Arabidopsis thaliana: one gene and its partner. The protein of the gene in region 2 interacts with the protein of the main gene of each other region in a pairwise test. Each region holds a gene or a part of one and is shown on either strand. Other genes may lie near its edges.

Region 1 (5,478 bases), on a different chromosome or scaffold from region 2:
TTAGTGCTTACCCCACAACCATATCGAAGGAAAACGCCGACGGGAGGTAGAAGAATCGCCAGAATAATTTCCAAGAAAGTTTCTGATCCCATTTTTGATGTTTTGGAGAAGAAGAGAAACAGAAACAGAAACAAGAAAGAGAGGTTTTGTGGACAGAAGGGAAGTGGTGTGAAAGTTTGGTCAAGAAGTAAAAGAAGTGGTGTTTGACACGTGTACTGCTTGCAGTGTATCACGTGACACGTGGAGACGCTTTCGTAGCGATGAACACGTCAAACAAACTGCTTTACTTCAAAACTGCTTCCACTAATTCCACGGAAATCTCACAGATATTTTCAATTTCTCCTTTTTTGAGAGGCCAAGAAGATAACATTTTAATGTTTATGATTCGAATCTGTTTACTCCATCCCCTCTTTTCAAAGAATTTTTAGTTTTATTGTGAAAAGATTAATAATTTATCACTCACTAGATTTACATATTAAAATCGATATTGTGTAATAATTTACATAAACATTTTCAATAATTTCTAGAGTTTTACATTGACCTACTAAAAGTACATATAAGAAAAATGAAATTACAATCTTTGGTTATCTTCCAAAGTGAAACCTATACATTTTTTCTCCTAGTTGAGTAAAGGGAGAGTTAAAGGACATGACTCATGAGAAACTTAAATACAAAAAAAATGTGGAACAGAGAGGACAAAAACCTGCTCAAGAATGCTAATGCTAAGCAGTAAGCAGCCCATATACATATATCCACAAAGATTAAATTATACTTAAAAAGAGAAAAGAAAAAATAAGTGTTGGAAAAAATGGGGTCATTGAGGTTTTGTTTCTTCAACTCACCTTTAAACCCATTTTGCCAAAACCAGTGTCTTGCATCATATCCACAAACTCGCTGTAGTCTATTCTTCCATCCTGACAAAAACAATCATATAACATCATTATAAAGAACAATGTTCTTGCAAGTAACTATAGGTAAAGCATATCAATTGCATATTAATGAGTTGTTACGTTGTCTTTATCGACTTCGCGTAAAATGTCGTCTAAATGAACATCCGCTAAGCCAAATTGCTTGCAAGCTTGTTGGAGCTCGTCTCTGGTTATATAACCACTTCCATCTTGGTCAAAGTAAGAGAATGCTGTGAACAAATGGTCTTCTTTCTCTATTTTGTTCAAATGCACCATTGCTGCTATAAACTCTCCATAGTCTATTGTCCCACTGTTATCTATATCCGCCTGATCAAATGTTCATATTTTTCCAAATTATTATCTCACACATCTCACATCATATAGTAAACAAAAGGTGATTTCAGTATAAAAATGGACTTACTGCTTGCATTAATCCTAGTATTTCTGAATCTTTAAGGTCAGCACCAACTCTGTCCAAACCTTTCTTGAGTTCTTCGAGAGTGATGTGTCCACTATTATCTGTATCTATCATCTTGAACATTTCCTTCAATCCTGCTATTTCTTCCTCTGACAAGCTTTCTGCTATTACCTGAATCAAATACATCACGTATAACTCTCTATCTTGCACATAATTTGGTATAGATGATAGAAACCAATTCAAAATGTTTACCTTGATAGCTATTTTCTTGAGCTTGTTCATGGCTGAAAATTGTTGCAAACGACTTAGGACAGCAGAATCAAGAGGTTTATCAAGAGCAACACCATCTACTCTGGCCCATGGATGACCTAAAATATAAATTCAACATTTTACAAATCTTTATAGTACTTACTCTTATCAAAAAGATATAACTTATTTGGAAACAAGAACACTAACAGAGAACTTCATGAGTAGTCATTCGCTTCTTAGGGTCTCTGATTAGCATCCGACGGACCAAATCCTTGGCACTTTCTGATACACTAGGCCATGGTTCTGATATAAAATCAAGGTCACCTTTCAAAACCTGCTCAAAGATCCCCTGTTCCGTTTCTGACATATAAGCACAATCCAATCAGTCTCTTTATCACTTCAACATACCTGAAACAATGAATCAACAACTGTCTCTTACCATCCCAAAACGGAGGGACGCCACTTAGTAAAATGTAAATAATAACTCCGGCACTCCAAACATCACATTCATGACTATAATGTTTCCTTAAAACTTCTGGTGCCACATAATAAGGACTACCAACGACATCAGTGAATGTTTCTCCTGTAATCACCAACATATATAGTCAAGATCATATTGTATATGGGATCTGTTAAAAGTAGCATTGGGGACATATACTATACCTGGTTTAAAGAAAACAGAGAGGCCAAAATCAATAGTCTTGAGAGCAGCTTCTTCATCTCCACTAACAAATAAAAAATTCTCAGGCTTAAGATCACGGTGCATTACACCTAAAGAATGACAAGCTTCTATAACACCAACAATGATCCTAGCAAGCTCAGCAGCTTTTTTCTCAGTATAATGCCCTCTCTGTATAATCCTATCAAATAACTCTCCACCTGCACAAATCTCCATCACAACATGAACAGCTACTGCATCTTCATACGCACCAACGATCTGAATCACGTTTGGATGACCAGACAAATGATGCATTATCTGAATCTCTCTTCTCACATCTTCAACATCCTCAGGTGTTGTTAATTTCCTCTTAGCTATCGTTTTACAAGCGAACTCTTTACCTGTCTTCTTATCCACGCAAAGAAACGTTGTTCCAAATTGTCCTTGACCTAATTTTCTCCCAACACTGTATATATCTTTGAGATTCTCTGTTTTTCTCCCAAGAACTGAGTCTATTTGTAGACCTGCGCTTGCCATACGTTTCATGTGCGCTTCTTTCTTCTGCGGTTTCGAATTCGGATCTTCTTTGTTCTCTGTGATAGGTTTTGGTGGTGGTTCTTCGTTGGCCATTTTCACCGGAGGTGGTGGTGTGCTCGGTGTTGGCAACGTGGATGGTGCTGGATCCACGGTGGAGGAAACGTGACCGTTACTGTCGTCGCCATTAACGCTTTTATCGTTCTTTTTTCGACTGCTCTCGTCCTTGCTGCTCTTAATGCTATCGTCTGGTTTCTGATTCCGCCACACGGCAGCACTAACGGATTGAAGGAATCCATTAGGGTTCAGATTCGGACCCACGCATGTGTTTCCCATTCAAAAAATTTAACCTAAAATCACAAAACCTAATTTTGCTTCTTTTTTTTTCTTCTCTCTGTTTGAGATTATCTATTACTTCTCCGACAATGAAAACACGAACCACTCATTAGCGTCATCAACGTGAATGATGAATCCATATAGAATATTGCCGTGTCTTCAAAATCGACACAGCTCGGTGAAAACCTGAGATAATGAATTGACCACCTAAGTCGCTCGCAAGCAACCTTGTTCTGCACGTTTTCCGGATACAAAATGGTCGAGAAACGTCTTGGAATTGTAAAATGTGGCTAAATGATTTGATTCGGAGAAGATCTGATGAGCTGATGATCAGAGGAGGGGAAGAAGGAACGAGAGAGAACAAGGAAAGGACTATGCCATTGCCGTCCATTTTTACGAGAAAATATGGAAAGTTTTTTTACAGAGCCCAATTTTAGACTAGGACTCACTTTTATCAAAAACAATTTCTTTTTGTCTTTTAATTTTTAACAATTAATTAATTTTTTTGAAAAAATATATAACGTTGAGTGATTATATTGTAGGGAATTAACTGCGAAGGATTTAGTTAATAAATATTTTGATTGAAGAAAATATACAATAAGAAGAAATTTTGTTTATCTAAAGTAAAATTCTGAAACTTGTGATGTATATAGACATGAACTGATGAACGTGTGTAATCTATTGACTTGTCTTTTAAACAATTAATAAGGAACAACATCCAATAACATCTTAAACAACACAAAAAAGTATTTAAACACAACTCGATTTATGTCTCACCAAAGAAAAAAAATAAAATAAACCTCTCCTAATTATGATTCTCTCTCGAATCTGTAATGTCTCGGGCACGGCAGAAACAAATAAAAGTAATATATCTTTTTTTTTGTCATCACCTTTTGTTTAGATGAAGTTAATAATTGAACTTGAAGAGATACACCATTAATAACCGATCATATGCTTCGTCTGTTCATTCCAAAACATCTTCGACTGCTTCACCATCTCAGACCGTTCATTCATCATCCTCTCCTTCCAATATTCTTTGCTTCTACAAAAAAATATATTATGCTTTCATCATATGACATTAATAATTCTTGCAATATAAATACAGTTTGAACAATATATACCACCCCAAGAATATATTCAGATGTTTATGAAAGGCTCACTCATAACGACTTCAAAACTTAAAAAAAAAATTAAGAACAAAAATTCGATCGCAACTTCATTTTCTAGTTACTTAACGAATGAAAACACCATCTTGCTATATGAATGATAATAATCATCAGTTCAAATTTTATGGACACATCTATACTGATTTGGTGCAATCTAAAATTTGAGACTTGTCTTACCGTGTCTTTAAAAGAAGATGCAGCTCGATCATGTGAACTGCTTCCGCGTAAACTCCAGCCTGATACCGCAAGGAATAAATCAAGATTGACCTCATTATAGATATTGGAAACAAAAGTTGAGAGAAGAACACGTTTAATGTTGCAAGAATCTAAACAAACCTCTCTGCAGATGGGACATTTTGAATGTCGGGGCGCTGCTTTAATGCCTTGGAAAATCAATACAGAAGCAGCCGAGCATGCACACGAGTTACAAAATATGTGACCGCACTTTAAAGCATAGGGATTGAATACCGTTTCCTGCCCAAATTTATCCACAACAAATTACTATTTTCACCTCCAGATATGCAAACTACATTTTATTTGTGAAAAAATGCAAAGAGATTTTTTATTACGAGGCAGATTGCACAAGTTAGATCATACTCCAGCTCTATTGAGTTAGGCAGCATGAGTTTTAGCACTGGTTGATCTTCGTTGAGATTTTCACAAGCGACACGGCCAAACGAATTCTTGAAGTTTCCAACATTATCTAGCCCAGAGTTGAGATAAAAGGCTCCAAGTTCTATGAGCCATGGTGAGTGCAAGAGCTCTATGCGCTCCGCTCGCATTTTCAACTTGAAATTCTTCCCATTCTCTGAGCTATGCACCTGAAAGCATTTTTAAGCAGTTTACTTTCTCACAACAAATGAAGTCACATCTTCTTATTTTAAAATGAATTATTATCTTTGCCATAATCTCTAACCTTGTCATATTTCTTGAGGATTTTACGGATAGCAATTGCATTCATGGTGATGTATTGAATCAAGATTTGGCCCTCTTGGACTAAAGCTTGTTTTTCGTCAGTGAAGCATCTGCGTAGGCGAATCATGTATCTCTGCATCCCAGTGGCTACATGAAGATGGAGAAGATGCCTCACTCTTGACCTGAAAAATCCCGCTATGTCAGTAGCTTCTTTCATCAGCTCCTCGAAGAACATCTGATCACACCCTGCATTGTAATTAACATCATCTTTTACATCAACCACCTAATCTCAAA
Region 2 (7,027 bases):
CAGGAGCTAGAGATTTTTGAAGATTTTGTCTCTTTTGCTTTGAGAATTTAGATTTGTTCCTAGGACAATGTGGAATTCTACTGCTAGTTTGTTGCTGAGTTCAAGCTCTGATTCTTATGCCTTTTGTTCTTGAGGTTCTTGATTTCTGTTTCTGTAATCTGTTTATGTTAAAATTGAGAGTTTCCAATATATCTCAAGTTCTTATGTCAAATCGTTATGATGAGAACTTCAATAGCTTAGCTGATCTTATCAGAACTTTTCGCGAGTATGAATTCGGTAGCTACTGGTTTGGTGATGATTTTGCTGGCCCTTTTGTACTATGTAGGCTTGAGTACTAGTGCTGTCTAGCTTGGTATTATGCCATTTGATTCTCTACCTTCTTGATTTATCGATATGGCGGTGTCGATTAAGTTCCCGAAATAGAAATGATTATGTGATACTGAAGCTCTTAGAGGGCTTAGCTGATAGTAGAACCAACATGATCGCGTATCATAATTCTGATGCTATTTATACAGTGATAACCCCTCAAAACTTTTTATTTATTGGAACAAAACAAGTATACATGCTCTTTGAAGTATTATGATAACTGCTAACAGTTCTGGTTTAAGAGATACTGGGTCGTTTGGATTGGTTCACCATTGTAGACAACCCCTCCCGTTTACTTAATACTGCTTTAAACACATGATCATTAGAACCACAGCAACAATTACGTTACTAGGTTCCTCACTTGTGTCAGAGACACTGACAACAAACCAAAACCAAAACTTCGGATACGACTCTGTATTAGGGGTTATGAAAACTTTTTTCGTGATTCTCCAATTTATGATGAATCACTCTCTTGAGTTTTGCCGTTGCAAGCTTCTACATCATTACTCTGACTGCTGTCGGAGTCTGTGAATTTCAAGTAGTTCTCGATGTTCTCTGAGCTTACGTTTCTCAGTTGGTCAAGCCACCGGTGTTGGCTATTCTGTTTGGGTCTCGGACGGTTGCTGATGGCTATGGCGAGGTCATTGGGAAAAAGATCTCGGAGGACAAAGGCGTGGATAATGGTGGTCACGAGCAGTGCGAACACGACTAACGTTGCAATGGCACATAGGACCACACACATGATTTGAGTCATAGTGCTCTTAACCACTGTTGCGTACCTGATGGTAGCAATTGCAGCTCCGGTCATCGGAAAGGTGTACGCCCACCAGGACAGCGAAAATCTATGAGAAAAAAAAGTGTGAGAAAGTTGAGCTAGCGAATAACTAAAAATCAAACAGTAATAAAAGTAATTTTCTTAATCTTACTTGATTCCCCTGAAGAAATTGATCCGAACAGCCTATAAATCAAAGAAAGGGAAAATTTGTATTAGTAAATACTTTTCTGAAGAAGGAATATATATACAGCTAAGTTATATGTAAAACGTACCAATGAGAAATAGAGGAAAATGGCGATAAAGTAACAAACTTTGGAGCCATAATCGAAGGAGCCAGTGACCTTAGCCCAAGCCATGGAAGCAACACTTGGAGCCGCAACGAAGAGGAAGAAGACAGGATGAAGATCTTTAGGCAAAGTCTCGTTGGTCGGTAGCCTTTGGTAGAGAGTCACGAACAGAACCAAGTAATGAGCCATCCCAACAGCATAGAAGAATATAGGGCCTTCTCTAAGCCCCATGGACGCACCAAGCAAGGCCCCAACAAAGTTCCCAACGACCGAGAGATGGTTGGTCGGGTTGGCGACCCGGGAGAGCCGTCGTTGACCACCGGACATCCACTGACCGTAGATCTTAAGCTCAAGACAGATGAATGGAAACATGAGGAGGTACCAAAGGAAATGCGGCAAATCTGTAATTATGGAAGGTGGGACACCGAGGGCAAGGAAGAGTAAAGAAATGAAAGGAGCAAAGAAGAAGTTGATTCTGATTGGATGGTAGTATTCGCGGCGTACGGCTTCGAAGAAAAGGATGATCTTGAGGAGGTAGATGGTGGCGATAGTGAGGATCAAAGCCACTGAAATGAACCATAGACCCTGGTTGATCCAGAGGGGTACGTGGAGGAACTTGGTTGGCTCTGCAGTGGCTAGGGTTTTCCACATTATGGCTTGGCTGCTCACTCCTAGGCACATACCGAAGGTGGAAATGGGGTAACGGAGAAGAAACGGCCACTTTTTATCATTTGGTAGAACGATCTCTTCTTGAGGCTGCGACGTAGGAAAAACAAAAGAGAGTTATAATTGAAACATGTCACTCGTTAATAAAAGAGAGTTATAAAACGTGTCACTTCTGACTTCTAGTAATGATATATTTTCGCAAAAAGGTCATTAAAACAATTTACCACATGAATGCAATTCAAATGTAAAAGATACAAAAAAAACGTAGGTACGTACCCGTAGGGTCTCTAATTCAGGACCTTCTAAGGCGTCATAGTAACGGTCCACAGGCATGGCTTCATTGGTATTCAAATTTTGGTTATTCCGGTTTGGTGCCTCCGGTTCAACAGAAGCTGGTTTTCTTGTGAATTGTCTCTCAAGTTTCCCCGACCAAGTCTTGAACGAGTTGTACCTGTTGTCTTTAAGCTTGTTCGCAGCCTGATTTTGATTTTGATGATGACCACTCTGATGTTGTCGATGAAGATGATGATGATGATTATCATGGCTTTGACGACGATCATCATCACCATTACCGCTTTCTATGTAGAGAGATGAGACTTTGGTCATCGGCTGAGAGAGAAACTTGACGGATTTGCCAGTCGACCCACTGTTCTTGTGGTTTTCGGAAGACAAAGATGTTGTCGGGTCGGAGATCATGAGAACATTTGGTGAAGTTGGCATTGAAATTGATGGTTTTCTTTGATGAGTCCATGGTGTTGTCTCATTGTAGTTATGATGATGAGCTTCCATTGTGTCTATTGATCTTGATGTTTCTTGACCATTCTGTACATATAAATATATGTAACATAATTGTCTCGGAATTAGTTATATAATAAGTTTATAACCTAATTTTTGCGAGTGTGGAAAGTGATAAATAAAATATGTAACATACCAAAGTAGTCGTGGAGGCATGCGATGGATGAAAACGACTGATTGAGTGAGGAAAAGGATGACCATTCTCTTTGTAATTGTCAAAGCCAACCATTTCTTCTGTTGTGGCTTTTCTCAGTAAAGTTGGAAGCTCTTCTTCTACTTGTATCACATAGTTTGGTTTCTCCTCCATTTTTTTCTTCTTTTTAATTTCCTCTGTAACATCCAAATTGTTTACGTATTAATTGACACCTATAAAATTGAATTTTCTTTTTAATCTATAGTTAATTAATATTCTAACTTGACTTGTATCATTGATTCATCATTAACACAAAAGATTGATGAGTATAGCCCTTGAAGTCAATATATAATTTTTTTAGATTGTTGAAAGCATATGCGAAGGAAAACAAAATATATATTATTCACAGTAAAAGGACTTCTAGCGAGTTCTTGATTCATTAGAATTTTACCTATTCCCTTCGCAATTGCTCTATAACATGGTTTGGAAAATGAATTTGGGATTTATATTTTCTAAAATCATAAACTAATAAAATCTAGTGGTTTAATTAGGCCGATAATTAAATAAATCTGACCTAAATTCTCCACATTTAAACATCATACCTAATATACATTTTGCAAAGTCTAGTGGTGTTGCCACTAAGCTGGTTTCCCAGCTGTATAGAATTAGACTATACTTAGTCACTTACCCTATATTTATTGGAAAATGATGCATGTTATCGGCTAGAAAGAAAAAAGAAGGCCACTATTGTTTGTTTATCCAAAACAATTGCACTTAAAACCTATAAATACTAGTGTGCATTTGGGCGCCTTTGAGAATTCTCCTCAAATCAAACAACAATCATAAATAGAAAAACAAGAAAGCACAAAGAATAGAATAAATACAGTTTTCTCTATTTTTTTCGTTTTCGAATTTTAAGCTTTCCTTTTGGTTTCTGACTTTGAGTGGAGTAAATTCTTTGAATATTTGTTTAAGAGAAACTATAATTTTAGAAAACCAACAAAACTGTAATTTTAGAACTGCATTAATAAACCCTTTATTGCGATGTTCCACGTCAATGATCAAAGCTAAACCAATCTAAAACATCGCTGTTTCAAAAAGTCGTAGGTAAAATCAAGACTCCCATAATTAGGAAATTAAATATATAAAAAGCTAACTAAATTGGTTTTAATTAACGAAACAAAAACTCCTATTAACAACAGAAATAAAATTATATATATATATATATATTTCTTTTTCCTTTCTTTTTGGCTGTACAAGAAAAAAACTTTAGAAGAAAAAAACAAAATAGCAAAAGATCTTAAATGGATGGTGTGGTGCTATGTGCCCATCAACTCATCGGGTCCACTTCAAAGTTATGGCTCGACCGGCCAACAACGCTTATGAATATTTACGCGTTTAAACGCTATTGTTCATGTTCCATCGCTTGTGAAAACCGGTTTGAACATATAAAAATCACATACATGTACTAGTATTAGTAAACCAGGAATCTTTGTAAATTTTACATCACATTGGTTCACAGCTAAATTGGCATTTGGGGTTTAGTAAGGTAATTTTTGGTTTCTGGAATCAATTTGGGTTTAAGAAAGAAAGAACGAGGAGAAAAAAAAAAGAAAAGAAAAATCAATTAATAAATTTATTAGTTCGTAATAAGAACCCTAAGGTCATATAAAAGAAAATCAAGAATCGCATGTAGCCTATGCATGTTCTCAAGAAAGGATTCACAAAAATGTTGTTTGTGATGTAATGAACTTTGTTAACTACGAATCCAAAAACAAAAAAATGGAGAAATGGAATAAAACACTAACCTGACGATTTTGAAATTTTGCAGCCGTAGAAATCAGAAATGGTGTTTAAAATCTACAGATCTTCTCTTATTCTTGTAGAGATAAGAATTGTGTTTTGGTAGGGAAAGAAGCGAAGACGAATTAGGAGAAAATAGAAAAAAAGCGAGTTGGTTTGGGCGAAAACAAAACACGTCTTTGTACTATAAATAAGTGTTCACGTAAGTACAGTTACGGAAACATGATAGTGTATGTATTTGTTAAATGTATAGCTGTAATTCAAAGCTTTCAACGTGGCCGTCTTCTTGTTGATCAACTAGTCATGGTTCACGTCATTGACAATCTCAAGTAATTTTTTGTTCTTTTTATTATTTTTTGTCACAATTATTTAGTTTTTTTAAGCATTGGTCAATAGGTGGTGGACCACATTATACGAAACGGCCAAAAAACAAGGAAATTTTTAAAATATATTTATGAAAATGAAGTTAATATGGTATTTAACAAAGGGAAAAAACCCAAAAAAGATCTCAATTAATTTTTATTTGGACGTTTAATACCCAATTATTTTTTGTTGGAAGATAAATACACGAAATAATAAAATCGTACAATTTAATACACAAATAATTAATTGTTGTTATTTTCATACTCACGATCTCACAACAAAAATAAAATTGCAATTTATCCTTACCATCTCAATTAACTATTTTTTTTTTGATAATATGATATTAATTTTATAATTTTGAATAAAAATTAATTTTATTAATATTTTAGTTTATGATAATATGATATTAATTTTTATTGTGAGATCGTGAGTATGAAAATAACAACAATTACTTGTTTGTGTATTAAATTGCACGGTTTTATTACTTCGTGTATTTACTTTCCAACCAAAAACAATTGGGTATTAAACGTCCAAATAAAAATTAGTTGAAGTTTTTTTTGGGTTTTTTAACATTTAACAAATGCATAAAATATTATTTTGCAAAAGAAAAATAAATAAATAACTTTGAGTCTTGGTTTGTTTGATAATTTTTCTAATTTTTTTTCTTTGTTAAATATAATTACATAAATGATAAGCTTTTAAATCTTTTCATAATAAATATAACGTTTTTTTTTATCATATAAATGATGAGCTTTTTTGTTATTTATTCGTTTTTTGTTAATGTTTTAGAAATATAGTCAAGTTTTACTGGAAGGAAGAACAATACAATATGTTTGTTTGGGAGTAAATTCAGCTACGAAGTATATTTACCAATTACAATGCGACAAATAGATTTTAGATCCGCATGCACTTTTTTATAAACAGTTCTCCATATCCGTGTCTATCAGACATCTCCAAAAATTACTTAAGTGCAAAAAAGATAATTTGCATCATGCCACATAGAAAAAAGTTGACAATGGAGATGGACATAGCATGCAAAGTTAGTCATTATTGCAGCAATTTAACCAGCATGGATGCTTTAGATGGCGTATTATTGGGAGGCTACTTGAACTGAACCTACAGAAATAATTCCTACATAAGACTGATATCGCAAAGCAATGTACTTTAAGTTTTGGACTTTGGTTATCCAGTATCCAAAAATCTAATTTTTCGTTTTCACAAGGTAATGTATTTATTCCTAGAAATATGGTTTTACAATTTTGTTTTTACCACCTTATTGTTTTTCTATTCATAAATTCAAAAAATTTCACGTCTATTTCTCTTATATGGATTCTATCTTTTCATAACGTTTAAATTTTTGGAATCTGAGTTGGCGATGTTTTTGATATCTGTTTTTTTTTTTTTTTTTTTGGCTCGGGTATATAATATAATTAAAAATCATTTGCCAACAAGTTATCTATAACAGAATTATGGGCTAATTAATTAGGTGTATAGCCAAATTGTGGGATGGAAAAATACAACAAAACTGTTTTTAAGGAATCGAGTACACAAAACGAGTAATCCGCATTTTTTGGGGTAAATTACACAAAGAAATAGGAAAGAGGAAGAAACCAAGTTGGTTCACAAAACTTCTTCGCATAGATTGTGTCGTTAGGTACGTTTTTGGTTGATTGTTTGAATTAGGATTTTAGCTGTCACCGAATTGATTTTTCTTTATTTGTCCAGTTATATGAATATATTATATCTTAGTGAGTTAATCATAAATATAATAGTTTTTGGTTCCTGTCTACATGCGCTGTACATGAGTTTTGTCTTTAGAGCGGACAAAACTTAGGTTTG

The links.
Region 1: the proteins of SLAH3 (region 2) and CPK20 interact in a protein complementation assay, tested with the Arabidopsis thaliana proteins (one study listed by BioGRID).

Annotation. Positions count from the first base shown.
Region 1 is NC_003071.7:16,244,381-16,249,858, forward strand, and holds CPK20 (calcium-dependent protein kinase 20), read right to left. Parts: upstream 3,476-5,478; 5' UTR 3,104-3,475; coding exon 2,239-3,103; intron 2,159-2,238; coding exon 2,015-2,158; intron 1,936-2,014; coding exon 1,783-1,935; intron 1,695-1,782; coding exon 1,579-1,694; intron 1,498-1,578; coding exon 1,330-1,497; intron 1,236-1,329; coding exon 1,011-1,235; intron 915-1,010; coding exon 834-914; 3' UTR 526-833; downstream 1-525. Other genes in the region: AT2G38905 (Low temperature and salt responsive protein family), read right to left, coding at 12-92; AT2G38920 (SPX (SYG1/Pho81/XPR1) domain-containing protein / zinc finger (C3HC4-type RING finger) protein-like protein), read right to left, coding at 4,040-4,145, 4,447-4,505, 4,606-4,743, 4,839-5,090, 5,186-5,430.
Region 2 is NC_003076.8:8,117,798-8,124,824, forward strand, and holds SLAH3 (SLAC1 homologue 3), read right to left. Parts: upstream 5,118-7,027; 5' UTR 4,831-5,117; intron 3,220-4,830; 5' UTR 3,197-3,219; coding exon 3,026-3,196; intron 2,917-3,025; coding exon 2,371-2,916; intron 2,185-2,370; coding exon 1,414-2,184; intron 1,325-1,413; coding exon 1,293-1,324; coding exon of another isoform or gene 1,289-1,292; exon of another isoform or gene 1,209-1,288; coding exon 821-1,208; 3' UTR 520-820; downstream 1-519. UniProt on the Arabidopsis thaliana protein: Slow, weak voltage-dependent S-type anion efflux channel involved in maintenance of anion homeostasis. Binds to the highly selective inward-rectifying potassium channel KAT1 and inhibits its activity.